Ovis aries: one gene and its partners. The protein of the gene in region 2 purifies or fractionates together with the protein of the main gene of each other region. This does not show direct contact. Links are inferred from orthologs where the notes say so. Each region holds a gene or a part of one and is shown on either strand. Other genes may lie near its edges.

Region 1 (4,584 bases), on a different chromosome or scaffold from region 2:
CAGCCACAGAGAACAGAGCAGTTTCGTGGGACCCAAGGAGCTCTGGACCACGACCTTTCTCAGGCAGAAAGGCCACATCTGTCACTACAATGCCATGGGCCTCCTTCACATAGTACAGACGCTGGGGACAAGAGGAAAGCTAGTGAGGGAAAGCCCAGTTTGGAAGATTCCTTCTGGAAAACACACCCTCTGCCCCCAGACTTTCCCTCTACAGGCTGGGCCCGACACTTTCGTGCACACTCAGTGAAAAAGAAGGCCTAGAATCTCTACCCCAGAGAGCCCTCAGGGCTGTGCCCAGGTCCATCCATTACCTGGAGCGAGAAAGCTATGTAGATGGCAACAGAGCCAGTGACCGTGCCCAGGCCCAGAAAAGTGCCCGATTCACTGCAACAAAAAAACGCTCACTGTCCTGGAATCCTGTGCAGCAGCAACAGTCTCCAGGGATGTGGGCAGCATGTCTCCCCGGGCTGCCCCGGGCACCCTCATACCCAGCCAAGCCACCACTGTCTCATACCTGACACTAAGGCAGGAGATGACTTCATGGCCACAGGGCCTGGTCCGAAGGGGCAGGAATGTGGAGGCATCCCAGGCTGTGAGGTAGCAGGGCGGGGGCTGGCGCAGACGCTTGTGGGGAATCTGCACCGTGAAGAGTCGCAGACCGGCAGGCTGGTCTGGAACCTGCCCAAACCTGGGGGCCGAGCCAGAGGCTGTTCAGCTCCCGGGGCCTGCCCAGCCCTCCTCAAAGGTCTGTGCCCTCCTGTACCCTGGTCAGGTCTGGGGTAACACCCAACAAGGCTCCGATCCCCTCCCCACCAGCTTCCCCCTGATCCTTTTCCCACTCCCCCACCACATCTAGGCTGTGCCTCTTTCAGCCACCCTCTGGGGTCTTCACACCTGCAGGCCTGGTAGCGATAAGGCGTGTTAGAAAACGTGGGTCCGTTCTCTTGCCAGTGCAGCTGTGTCACCAGCTGATCCTTCTGCCACACGGAGGCCTTAAGGTCCCAGCCCACAGTTACCAACTAGTCAGGGATCAAGATTCCAAGGATGGACAGTTAGGGGGATCCACTTACTGGACAAGCAGCATCATCACCTACTTTCTCCACCCTCTCACCTCCTCACCTTGCCATCAGGCCCCAGAGCTAGGTCTTCAATCTCCCCTTCATGGGCTTTGAACTCCAGAACCTTCTCTAAGGTGGGTACCTGCAGCCAAACCACCACCACAGTCAGCCTACGTACCCGGCAAGAGTGCAAATGATACCCACTCCTCTTCTCTACTAATGGCCACTGAGTGCAGGCTTTACTCACAAGTTTCCCAGGACCCAGGTTCAGTTTCTCACAATTCTGGCCTTGCTGTTACTGACACTCATCCTCTACCTCCCCAAACCACACCTTCCAGACACGAACGCAGCCATCTGTCCCTCCAGTGGCAAGCAAGGTATTATCATGGTTGAAGCACACAACTTTCTGCAGTGGATCACGGCTGAAGTCTGTCTGCACTTCGTGCAAATTCTCTACGCTGAATTCCACCCCCTCCTGGTGGGTTTCAGCGCCAGACTTCTTCTCTGCTGGGGCTGCCCCTTTCCTTTGTCGAGGCCCCTGCTCCTTGGAACCTGCAACACAAACAGCCTGCCAGGTTCCAGGCTTCTAGAATAAGTCCTACTGGCCCTTTCCAGTGGTGAACATCAGCTTCTCTCTTGCTACCATAATCCCACCTCCAGCCCTACTTCTTCAGAGACCAAGATGAGCAAGAATTCATTAATTTAACCCTTTGCCCAAAGCTAGCGGGGAGGCTCTCACCTGCCTTCTCTGCCTTGTTTTTGCCCTTCTGCTGATGGATCTGGAAGCGCAGGAGCTGACAGTGGGCATCCTGCCCTGCAGCAAGGATGTTACCAGCCAGGGCCAAGTTCATGGTGGCCCGTGTCTCTGTGTCATGAGAGTGTAGTAAAGAGGCGCTGAGGCGCCCATTAATCTGCTCCAGCTGCAGAAAGTGCTGTGGGAGAGGGAACCAGGACAAGTAAGGTTCAGAGAGCACCTCAAGGGCAAACTTACATCCTGTAGTCTGAACCTGCATTTTCTAGTTTAAAGACTTTTTCCAAACTTTTTTCTTTTTTGAGCCTCACTCATGTGTACTGGTCTTCGCTGGTGGCTCAGACGGTAAAGAATCTACTGCAATGTAGGAGACCCAGGTTTGATCCCTGGGTTGGGAAGATCCCCTGGAGAAGGGAATGGCTACCCTCTCCAGTATTTTTGCCTGAAGAATTCCATGGAAAGAGAAGCCTGTCGGTCTACAGTCCATGGAGTAGCAGAGTCGGACACGACTGAGCGACTATCACTTTCACTTTTTTTCACTTGCTTGCGTACAGCAAGCAAGGCTGGGATTATCACATCTAGTCTGCAGAACAACATGATAACTCTCAAAAGAGTGAAGAATCTTAGCTTGTATTTCACTCTCGCCGCTACCAGTGGCAGACAGACAAATCTTATGTAGCCTCCCCAAGAAAGCCAGGTTACGATCCCTGGAGTTGATTCCTGAGATCGAATTGAAGCGTTCCTGCCTAGGCAGCGCTGTGTGCAGTTTTCACTTTAGGAGCCTCTCAATTCACCAGTGAATGGTTCAAGACAAATTCGCACCGGGACGCCCGGCACGCCGCGGTTCCCACCCGGGAGGGGCAGGGTCCGAAGCAGGGGTGCGGCCCGCTCCCAGACCTCCGGGAATCGCCCTCAGCCCGCTCTGAGACCCGGCCCCAGCGGGCCTGTATACTCACCACGCCATTCTTTATGCCGGTCTTGGCGGCACCTCCTCCGCCCGCAGCTATGAGCAGCCCCGCGCTGGGGTCGACCCGAAGCGCGTACAACGGGAACGGGGCCCGGTACAGCTCTGGCGTCCGGCGCCGACCCATCCCGCTCGCCGCGCGCTTCACTGTCGGCGCCGAGGTCCCCGGGACATGCCGCGCCCGGCCTTCGACTGCTGTCCCGGCCGCTGTGGACCTTGGTCCGGTAGCTGCCGGGAAGACTCCAGACCCTTCTCACCCGCCGAGCTGCCGAAACTGTAATCACACCGTAAGTGTCCCTAACACTGCCAGGGGCCGTCTAACCCGGTCTCGCAGACGCGCAGCGCGCAGGCGCACCAAGCCCGCTCTCCTCGCGCAGGCGCAGAGCCGCCGATACGCGTCAGCACTAGCCAGCCTGTGGCTGGCGGAACGGGGGTGTATGAATTCCGTTCTCCGCTTTCAGATGATGGCAGAAGACTACGCCATGTTTCTGCGGGGCGGTGGAGGCGGGCGGCCGCTTCACGGAAACGTCTGGCTTGGGGCGGGGGCAGGCCAAAAGATTAAGGGAGGTTAATAAGCCTTTAATAAATCCTCGGATCAGGGCTGTCCACACTTCAAGAGTGACTTGCAGACTCGTCAAGCAATAGCCCTACGTTTACCGCCCCGCCCCGAGACAAAGTGATTCATCCAAGGTCACACTCCTGGCTCTCTTGCCTCTTAAACGGAGGCAGCATGGACTTGAAAAGAAACTTGGCTTCAAATCCCGATGCCACTGCTTCCTAGTATGAGGAAGCTACTCTTTATAATGAACACCAATCCTCCGAAGTTTGCAGAGGTTGGGGCTGGCCATTCTCTATGCCCCCCACCCAGTCCAGGCACCTCAGGGTTCATGGGTAGATAGGCAAGTTGGCCCTCAGGCAGTTGAAGGTCTCTGCCTAGCCCCCATCCTCCTGAGAGGGCCTTTGGGTTTTTGATCTCCATCCAATGTGGGGATTCCCTGTTTCTCTAAAGTGAACCCTTCCCTTCAAGGAAACACCTCCTGCTGCTCCCCTGGCGACATCAGCATGAGTCTTCGTTAATCTGAGGTGCAATCAGAGGAGGGGGCCCAGTGGCTTCATCTCTGGGGATGCCATTAACTGTCCCACCAAATTGAGTTAAATGTTTGAAGGGCCTGGCAGAGCCTTCTGCACCTCTCAGTTGCTCAGGTCTTGTGGGTCCCTTGACCTCTTCAGATATACCGCATGCACTCTCCTTGACCATTCTGTTAACTTTGACTCTCCTGCACCCCTTGTTGGGTTCTGGTCACCCTGAACGTAGAGCCACCCACAGATCTGCTCAGCAAGACTCAAACACAAGTTTTGCAGGGTCAGGCTTTTTTTTTTTTTTAATTGGATACACAGAAGGCTGAGTGGGGCCTGAGATGCCCTTGGTCCTCTTCAGCCAGGAGAAAGCAGACTCCACAAGGGGCTCCCAGGATTCAGGACTGGAGAACACACCTGACCTCCAGCCAGCCAGCCCTTCAGAGTGTCTCGGGGGCTCCCTGAGGTCTGGGGCCGGGCAGGGCTGGTGGGATTCAGAGGAGGTGCTCCAGGGGGCCTCCGTGGCTCTAGAACTAGAGTGGTGACTTTTGGGGAATGGGCCCTGGAGAGGCAGGTCTCTTTGGGGCAGAGGAAGGCCTGGGCTTCAAGTGGACCGTAGCCTGTTTTGGTGCCTGAGTTAGAGACCCTGAATGGCTTGTGGAGTTTAGTGACTGGCGGCCTACAGACCTGAGGCTCCCGTTCTGGGAGAGGGTGCCTGGCCCTAGATCTGCCTG
Region 2 (3,809 bases):
ACAACGGCCTCAGACCTGCTCCCAGGAAGCTAAACCAAAAAAGCAATGGAATTATCATAGTATCCTGTAACATGGTTCTTCACCACTAACTCCAAAAACAGAGTTAAAATAAACATTTGGTAGTCACCTAAATCTAGCCCCCAGTTTCGATTATTCTTAGAATTCCTCATCAGACAAAATATGAGCAGAATTATATTCCAAATTAAAATAACATTAACCATGAGCTTTCTCATAATAACTAATTACAAGATAAAGCAGAAGTAAAAAAGTACAAACAGAACTATATGTATTTACTTTGGAGCGTACTTTTCTTCCAAGACATTAATGTTATCATGAAAGAAATTCTTTAAAAAAATCACTCCTTCTCCTTAACACATTTTTTACTGATATAAAGGACGGAGGGAGAGAAAAGAGAAAGGTTACAAAAGTCAGAGAAACTATCATTGGGGGAAACTCAATGAAGATACCTGAGACCTCTTTTGTACTGTTCTTACAGTCTTCTGTGAGTCTATATATCAAAACAAGAACAAGATGTTCTTTTTTAAAGTCAAAAGAACTGTTCTGAAAATATACTAAGTGGCTATAGGGAACCTAACTTTTGCTGAGTTTTCATACTGCAACCAGCAACGGCAATAGACTTTGGGATGGTCAAAATTAAAGTACTGTCACCATATGAAGAATCTAAAAAAATGCATCCTAAGGCGTTCATTTATATAACACTCAATTTTCCAACTACTCACCCATCCATTTGATCGGCTTACAGTACAGGGGAAAACAGGCATGGAAAGAATTATGACGCAGTATGAAGACTGCTATGGTCGTGGTGGTGGTTTAGTTGCTAAGTCATGTCCGATTCATGTGACCCCTTGGACTGTAGCCCACCAGGCTCCTCTGTCCATGGGATTTCCCAGGCAAGAATACTGGAGTGGGTTGCCATTTCCTTCTCCAGGGGATCTTCCTGAACCAGGGATCAAACATGCGTATCCTGCATTGCAGGTGAGTCCCCACACTGCAGGCAGATTCTTTACCACTGAGCCACCAGGGAAGCCAAAGACTGCTATGATGTACAACACACAAAAAGAACAGAGGTGAGGAAGGCTGAAAGTCTATCTATCTGAGGCGCTGAAGACAGATTTACTGAAATGGAGCTATCCTAGCTGACAAAACCACGAGGGATAGTGAGAGAGGAAAAGAATGTTACACAAGTATATAAAGAGTATTATAACAGCACATGGGGAACTAAAAGGATATACCAGAGCCAGTCGTCATTTTCAGTAAAAGAAGATGAGTTATGACTTAATACCTAGGTACGCATCATTTTCTGAGTCACTCTTCATTTCCAATTCCAAGTTATCATCGTCTGCAATGTCTTCACCAAGCACAGCAGTCCAGTCTTTCATCTTTCGTAAGCGCTCTGTCAGAGACTTGACATTTACCAAAGGGGGAAACAAAAGAGGGTAATGCCTTATGCTGGCTTTATAACCTCTGAATGCACAACCGTAGTCTAAAAATTAATCCACACAGATAAAAGTACATGAGCTCTTACTCTCTACCCAGCATAAAATATGTAAATGCTCTCAGAAACTAACATTTATTTACTATTAAGGTGTACAAGTTAAAAATAACAACTGGTTACTCTTAAATCAAATATGAAAAGTGAAAACTGAAAGTGTCAGTCGCTCAGTCAGGTCCGACTCTTCGTGACCCCATGGACTGTAATTCTCCAGGCAACAATACTGGACTGGGTAGCCATTCATTTCTCTAGTGATCTTCCAACTCAGGTCTCCTGCATTGCAGGTGGATTCCTTACCGTCTGAGCTACGAAGAAAGCCCAAATCAAATAAATATAATACCTAGTAATGGCCCATTTTTTCTAAACGTACCACATGACTATACAGTAACAAAATATTTCTTACATGGTATTTCTCACCAGCCACAGTAAGAGTAGTCATTAACGTGAGAGTAAATTTTGTGTGAAGTTAAACAAATCCCCAAGTAACGTACATGATATATGAAAAAAGAGATTTCACAGATTCAATTTATTCAAGTAAACAACTAGCCGAGGGAATCAACTGACACAACTGACAAATAGAAAAAGAAATTGTAAAACAGAATCTAAGTTGGAACATCAGAGGTTTTGCTACAGTACTTTTTGAATTTTCTTAGAGAGGCTCCTCTGTCCATGGGATTCTCTAAGCAAGAATACTGGAATGGGTTGCCATGCCCTCTTCCAGGGGACTGTCCCAACCCAGGGATCGAGCCCAGGTCTCCTGCAATGGCAGGTGGATTCTTTATTGTTGAGACACTGAGGAAGCCCCAAAAACATCCTTAGTAGTGAAGTAAATAGTGTAAATGTATAGCTTTCAAGATGACATCATCCACTTCACTATGCAGGTTACAGAATGTTAGTTGTACATCTTATTAGTTAATACAATAAACAATATTTGAGTATCTATTAAGATTTAAAAGTGTAGGCAGGAAAAACTGGTAGAAGGGAGAGATAAGAAGTAGGAAAAAATCAATAAATCATAACAGTAATACCAATTATCTTATTCCTAATGGAGTTAAAGTACAATTAGATTTACTTAAAATATTCATCTCTGTAAAAGTACATATACCAGTTAATCTAGGCATTAAAGATATTCATATTTATATTCAATGCATATAATTTCATTTGTCCAATTTATAAAATTCTTTCCAACTCTTCTCATTAAGAAAAAAGATGGCAATCTTAAGATAAAAGCCAAAATCCAAAATCTTTTGTCTTTCTTCATTAAATATCTAGGCTAAAACAGAAGAGAGAAGAAAAAAGGACACAGAGAATGTGTGTGTGTGTGTATGTGTGTATACACACTACAAATCTACAAGTTTTCAAAGAACATTTGGCAACACGGATAAAAACACAGTACAACTAGTAATGTTTGCCAAAAAGTACATCTCCTCAAAATAAAAGCTGCTAAAAACAAAACTTTTTATATTTCAAAATTAGTATAAAGTTTTAGCTTAACTCAGTCATTAAACTAGCAGGGCTGTTTACCTTAATCTGATTTTCTTTATCACACAGAACTTGTTCCATATGTACTTTGGAGTCTTCAAATGTTATTTTCTGTTTATTAAGCTCATTCACTTGTTCTCTCCATTCTTCAGCTTCTTGTAAAAGCTAAAATTTAAGCCCCAAAGAAGAAGAAAAGCAACTCTTATTATCTCATCATATTTATATGCAGGTACACTTATTCATGGGCTTCTCTTGTGGCTCAGCTGGTAAAGAATACACCTGCAAAGCGGGAGATCTGTGTTCCATTCCTGGGTTGGGAAGATCCCCTGGAGAAGGGAAAGGTTACCCACTCCAGTATTCTGGCCTGGAGAATTCCATGGACTGTACAGTCCATGGGGTCACAAAGAGTTGGACACAACTGAGCGACTTTCACTTTCACACTTATGTATATAAGGTGTATCATTAAAAGAACCTCACAAAAAGAGGAAGTAATTCATATTATTGCATCAAACTCAGGTGCAGATGCACTTATTTATATATACCTAGGTGCACCACTAATAAATAGGCTTCCCCGGTGGCTCAGTGGTAAAGAATTTGCCTGCCAGTGAAGGAGGCCTGGGTTTGGTCCCTGGGTTGGGAAGATCCCTTGGCGACAGAAATGGCAACCCACTCCAATATTCTTGCCTGGGAAATGCGATGGACAGAAGAGCCTGGTGGGCTAGAGTCCATGGAGTTCCAAAGAGTCCAACACAACTTAGCAACTGAGCACGCATGCACCACTAATAAATATTATGCAACGCAGTGTGTTGCTAGG
Region 3 (4,576 bases), on a different chromosome or scaffold from region 2:
TATACAGAGTCTCCTTTTTTAAAATTCACAAAACGACAATCCGGGCCTGTAAAATCTTCTAGAGCCTCACCCCGGTACATTAGCACTGTATAGAAAGAGGGGGGAAAAAAGCGGGTATCAGGACTCAACTTTCAAATATTGATTTATCAGGAAACATAACAATCCACTGTAAACAACAATCAAGCTTCTCCATTACTCTCTGAAACCAATCAGCCTCAACTCATATGCTCAGAGCATCTATAGAGCTGTATCGTTATAAATCAGGACATCCCCCTGCAAGTAGGCAGGAAAGAGGTAAACTCAACGCGTTTTTCTCTATGGATAATGCAAACAAAAAGCAATGCGTCCACTGCCACACAGGGCTGGTCTCAAGTGAAACTCTTGGTTCCCTCTCTAATCACCTAGCTTTCAGTCTTTGCTGTTTCATAATTATAAAAAGCTTCATTTTGCAGTTGGGTAAATTCAAGCACAGATGCGACTAGTGTGAGCATGACTACATGCAGTGGTAACAGGTAACTGGGGAGAGCACCCAAGAACCCCCAAGAGGTCAATTAACTTGAACTAACCACTAAAAGGCCCTATCTTTAAGTGGTTGTAACTGCTACTGTGTAACAGTAAACACCTTCCACTTCACTTGCAGTCAAGCTGCTCTGTCAGTATCTGGATAAATTAATGAGAGAGGATATCATACCCAATTATGGATCCAATCACATAAGATAATATCTTCTGAAATCATATAATGTTGAATATATCCAACATTAAGGAGGTTTATTTCTATAAACAAAATCAAAAGTGGGCAAACAGGCTTTGTTTCTATAAGCAAAATGGTAGGTAGCAGGGACAAGCAAAACCATGAGAACTGTCCAGTAGTTACCTTCAGTCTTAACATGCAGGACTTAAACTATATTCGATCTAGAAATTGATAGAAGCGGTATTTTTCTTTTTGTTGGCCAAATTCACACTTCGTCAAATGAGATAACAAATGCAATTAAATAGCAGAGAAAGGGAAGGATGAAACGGAAATAACACTTGTTCTAAAAGCCAACTGGCAATAAGTACCTTAAGATGTATATTTACATACATATTTGAGGGACAAACACAGATTTAAAGGGGGTTATTTGGACTTTGAAGCTGATTATTTTAATACATGTCAGCATTCTAATTCAGATATAATTAGGTGAGAGGCAAAGTTGAAGGTGATGGACAATTTTTAAATTGATAGAGACTGGGGATCCTATCAGAATTGGAAAGAGGAAGATCACTGCAGAGGTATAATAATAAATCAGATGACAACATAATGCACTCTGTGGGGCAGCTATCTGAAAGGCACACAAGGACAGCTAACATGGACACACCTCACTAAACAAACACTTTATGTAAAACAACACGGGACCCAGGCCTGCTCTAGCTGCTGGCTATTGCCTTTGGCTACACTTGTTGGACACATGCCATTCTCCAATTATGTGACACCCATGGGCCCTTCTAACACCATGTCTCCATACTGACGAAGCATTAGAGATGTTATAATTTTCCAGATGACTGGTTTTGAGGTACCCAGGCAAGACAGTGTTTGAAAGCAAAGCATAGCCAACACTGGCCATATCCAACACTGCTTGCTAATAACCTGGACTTACTCTGAGAAAACTGCAGGAAAAACTGATGGAAGTTGCTCCACTTTTGTAACATTTATTTACATCAGTCTTAGGGTTACCTCTAGGAATGGCTTAAACAGATCCAAGACTGCCTCCTTTCTTTCCCCTAATGATGTGGCAGTGCTTCGGTTCTTCCGATTGTGAAATTTGTTTTTGAATAACACTGATTTCAATCTAAATAGCTAAACTGTAGGCTTTGGCCTCAGAAGGAATGTTTTTCTATATGCACTGATTACAACACATGAACAACCTTGTGTGAAATGGTTGTCAGTAAGTTACAAGGTTATTTGAGACCACGACGATGATAGGGGCCCAAGGCAAACACACAGGAAGAGAGCCCAACAATGTAACTGATCAAGGCTCAAGCTGGCTTGGATTTATAAAACCCCTGGGGTATTTATTATTTTCACTTTAACAATCTTCTTCATCTGAGTCTGGGGATCTCTGCCCTTCTCACTATCACCAGCCCACCGCGAATTCGCGGTTAGGGAACAATTCCGCTTCCTGCGCATTAGAGACGACTGGTACCAGGTGGCCGACGCTGAGTCTCGTCCTCTTTCGAGAGACAGATTTTGGCCTTCCCGATGCCCTTCCTTCCGGGCTATTTGCGGGAGCCTTCCAAGCACAGAAATGACAGGACTGAGGAAGAGCCGGGGAGGAGACCTTGGAACACACAGCATGCCTGGACTCCGGGCTCGTCCCAAACCTCAACTCCAATCCCTGCTGAAAAGGCGGTCCGAGCCCCGACTGTGACTGAAGCAGAGGGGCGAAGGGGCTGCGCCAGGGAGGTTTTTCCCAGCCCTAGCAACCTGCGGCAGGGAAGCCGCCCACCGAGTCCCGGCGCATCCGCCCCCGGACTGCACCCAGCGAGGACCCGGCGACGGGGGCAGGAAAGCGCTCGCCGGCAGCGCGCGGAGCCCGGGGCGCGCGGCGCGCAACCCCATCTCCCCTCGGAGCCGGGGCGAGCCGGCGGAGGGGACGTTGCGAGCGGCCCCCGGGGAAACCGGGGGCCACCTCCGAACCCCTCACACCATCCCCCGCCTCCGTCCGCGAAGGAAAAATGAAAGGCTGGCAACAAGTGGGAGGCAGAGACCCCCGCCCCCCCCCACCGCCGAGGCCGGCTGGCCCGGGCGCCCGGAGAGCGGGAGGGGCAGCCGCCGGGACCCGGAGGTCGCCCTCCCCCGCCGCCGGCGCTCCGCCCTCCCGGCCTGCGCCCCCCGGGTCGGCTTGCGGGGCGGCCGCGCTCCCGCCCCCGCGATGCCCGGGCGCCGCCGCCGCCCTCCCGGCACTCACTGCTGCATTCTTGGTCCGCGCAGAGCTTGAGCTGCGAGAAGCGCCGGCCGGGGCCCTGCTCCGGCTGGCCCGGCACCCGCCGAGGCGGCCCGAGCAGGAGCAGCCAGAAGAGCAGCGCCGGCGCCGCAGCCATGTTGTGGTCGCCCCGCGGAGCCGCTGACGCGGAGGACGCGGCCGGGGCGGGCGCCGGCGGGCGGAGCACGGGCCGCGGGGCGGGGCGCGCGGGCGGCGGACGCGCGGCGGCGGGAGGGGCGGCGCCCGCCCCGGCCTGTGAGGCCGCCACCGACACGTCAGCGCGGCCTCGGGGAGGGGACCGCGGGGGTCCCGGAGGAGGAGGACGCGCGCTCCCACCTCCTTGCCGAGGCCTCCTCGTCGGGTGGCTGCCTTGGCAACCGGGACTCTCTCTTCTTCCTCGTCCAATCGCGAGCCTTTGCCTCGGTCCCTGCGTCGCCGACCCTCCGCGAGACTCCATTCCTCGCTCACTCTGCTCTTCCACCTTGCACCCCCCACCCCGCGCCATCCCAACAGCAGGTCTTCTCTGACCCCTTTCTTGCAGCTCCCGATTTCTGGTCCTTCTCAGTCTGGCTCATCCTCACCTCCCCTTCGTGGTTTGATACTTCTTTTTCCTAACTACCAAATCCCACCCACGATTTTCCACTGCTAGTCTCCAGTTCGAGATTCCCTCTTCCGACTCCCAGGAGTTTGGGGGAGCATCCCCATCCTGTGATCTCCTTATGGGAAAAGGAGGGGTCAGCAGAATGATGGGTCGGTGATGTACATTAGAGCCTGTGGCCTGCTTGGCCTTTTTCTGCACCCCTCGTCCCCTAGCCCTGAGGGATGGAGGTGGGCAATGGGTCCCCATGCTTAGATCTTCAGATTCTGGGGGGTTCATCCATAAGAAATTGAAAGTGTTAGTCGCTCAGTCGTGTCCGATTCTTTACGACCCCATAGAATGTAGCCCGCCAGCCTCCTCTGTCCAAGAAGGATACTGTCAAGGCAAGAATGCTGGAGTAGGTAGCCATTCCCTTCTCCAGGGGATCTTCCCCGCTGAGGGACAGAACCAGGGTCTTCTACATTGCAGGCAGATTCTTTACCGTCTGAGCCAGCAGAGAAGCTCTTATCCAGAAGGGGAGAATAATTTAATTCAATGCCAATATGTAGAAATTCCATTTTATGCTACCATTTTAGGCCAGACGCTGGACAAAACACTAGTGTGGTGAAGGCAAACATGTAGATCAACAGACAAGATATCAGGCCTTTGTCTAAAGAAGCCCACAATTCAGGAGAAACCAACTCACATCAAAACGACAAGGAGCCAAAGTTGTTAGGAAGGAAAAGCTAGTTAATAGCGGCTACCATTTGTTGAGTGTTTTCTTTATGTCCAGGTGGTATTCTAAAGTCCTTATAGGTATCAATGTGTTTAATCTTCACAATAATAGTAGGTCCTATTACTGCCTTCATTTTCAAGATGAAGATATTGCATTTGTCTATGGCCAGGGGCTTCTCTCTATAGTCTCTGCCAAGGCTAATCATCAACCAACCCCAAATGCCAATCAAACCCATTAATTAGTTTCCCAAACTGACTGGATTCCTTAAAAGCAAGGGGAAAGAATGTGGTCCATCTATGCAAA

What was found. The genes of interacting proteins can lie anywhere in the genome.
Region 1: the proteins of MIA2 (region 2) and PREB purify together in Homo sapiens (affinity purification with western blotting; 3 studies listed by BioGRID and IntAct, with this or other methods). This does not show direct contact. The link is inferred for Ovis aries from reciprocal best matches to the Homo sapiens genes MIA2 and PREB.
Region 3: the proteins of MIA2 (region 2) and MIA3 purify together in Homo sapiens (affinity purification with western blotting; 6 studies listed by BioGRID and IntAct, counting the BioPlex papers as one, with this or other methods). This does not show direct contact. The link is inferred for Ovis aries from reciprocal best matches to the Homo sapiens genes MIA2 and MIA3.

The regions. Positions count from the first base shown.
Region 1 is NC_056056.1:34,211,515-34,216,098, forward strand, and holds the start of PREB (prolactin regulatory element-binding protein), read right to left. Parts: upstream 3,104-4,584; 5' UTR 2,901-3,103; coding exon 2,766-2,900; intron 1,991-2,765; coding exon 1,798-1,990; intron 1,611-1,797; coding exon 1,390-1,610; intron 1,201-1,389; coding exon 1,120-1,200; intron 1,020-1,119; coding exon 895-1,019; intron 689-894; coding exon 515-688; intron 385-514; coding exon 312-384; intron 122-311; coding exon 1-121. Other genes in the region: PRR30 (proline-rich protein 30), read right to left, coding at 4,384-4,584.
Region 2 is NC_056071.1:46,982,746-46,986,554, reverse strand, and holds part of MIA2 (melanoma inhibitory activity protein 2), read right to left. Parts: intron 3,161-3,809; coding exon 3,038-3,160; intron 1,819-3,037; coding exon of another isoform or gene 1,807-1,818; exon of another isoform or gene 1,573-1,806; intron 1,425-1,572; coding exon 1,304-1,424; intron 1-1,303. UniProt on the Homo sapiens protein: Plays a role in the transport of cargos that are too large to fit into COPII-coated vesicles and require specific mechanisms to be incorporated into membrane-bound carriers and exported from the endoplasmic reticulum.
Region 3 is NC_056065.1:25,332,977-25,337,552, reverse strand, and holds the start of MIA3 (transport and Golgi organization protein 1 homolog), read right to left. Parts: upstream 3,104-4,576; 5' UTR 3,079-3,103; coding exon 2,946-3,078; intron 86-2,945; coding exon 1-85.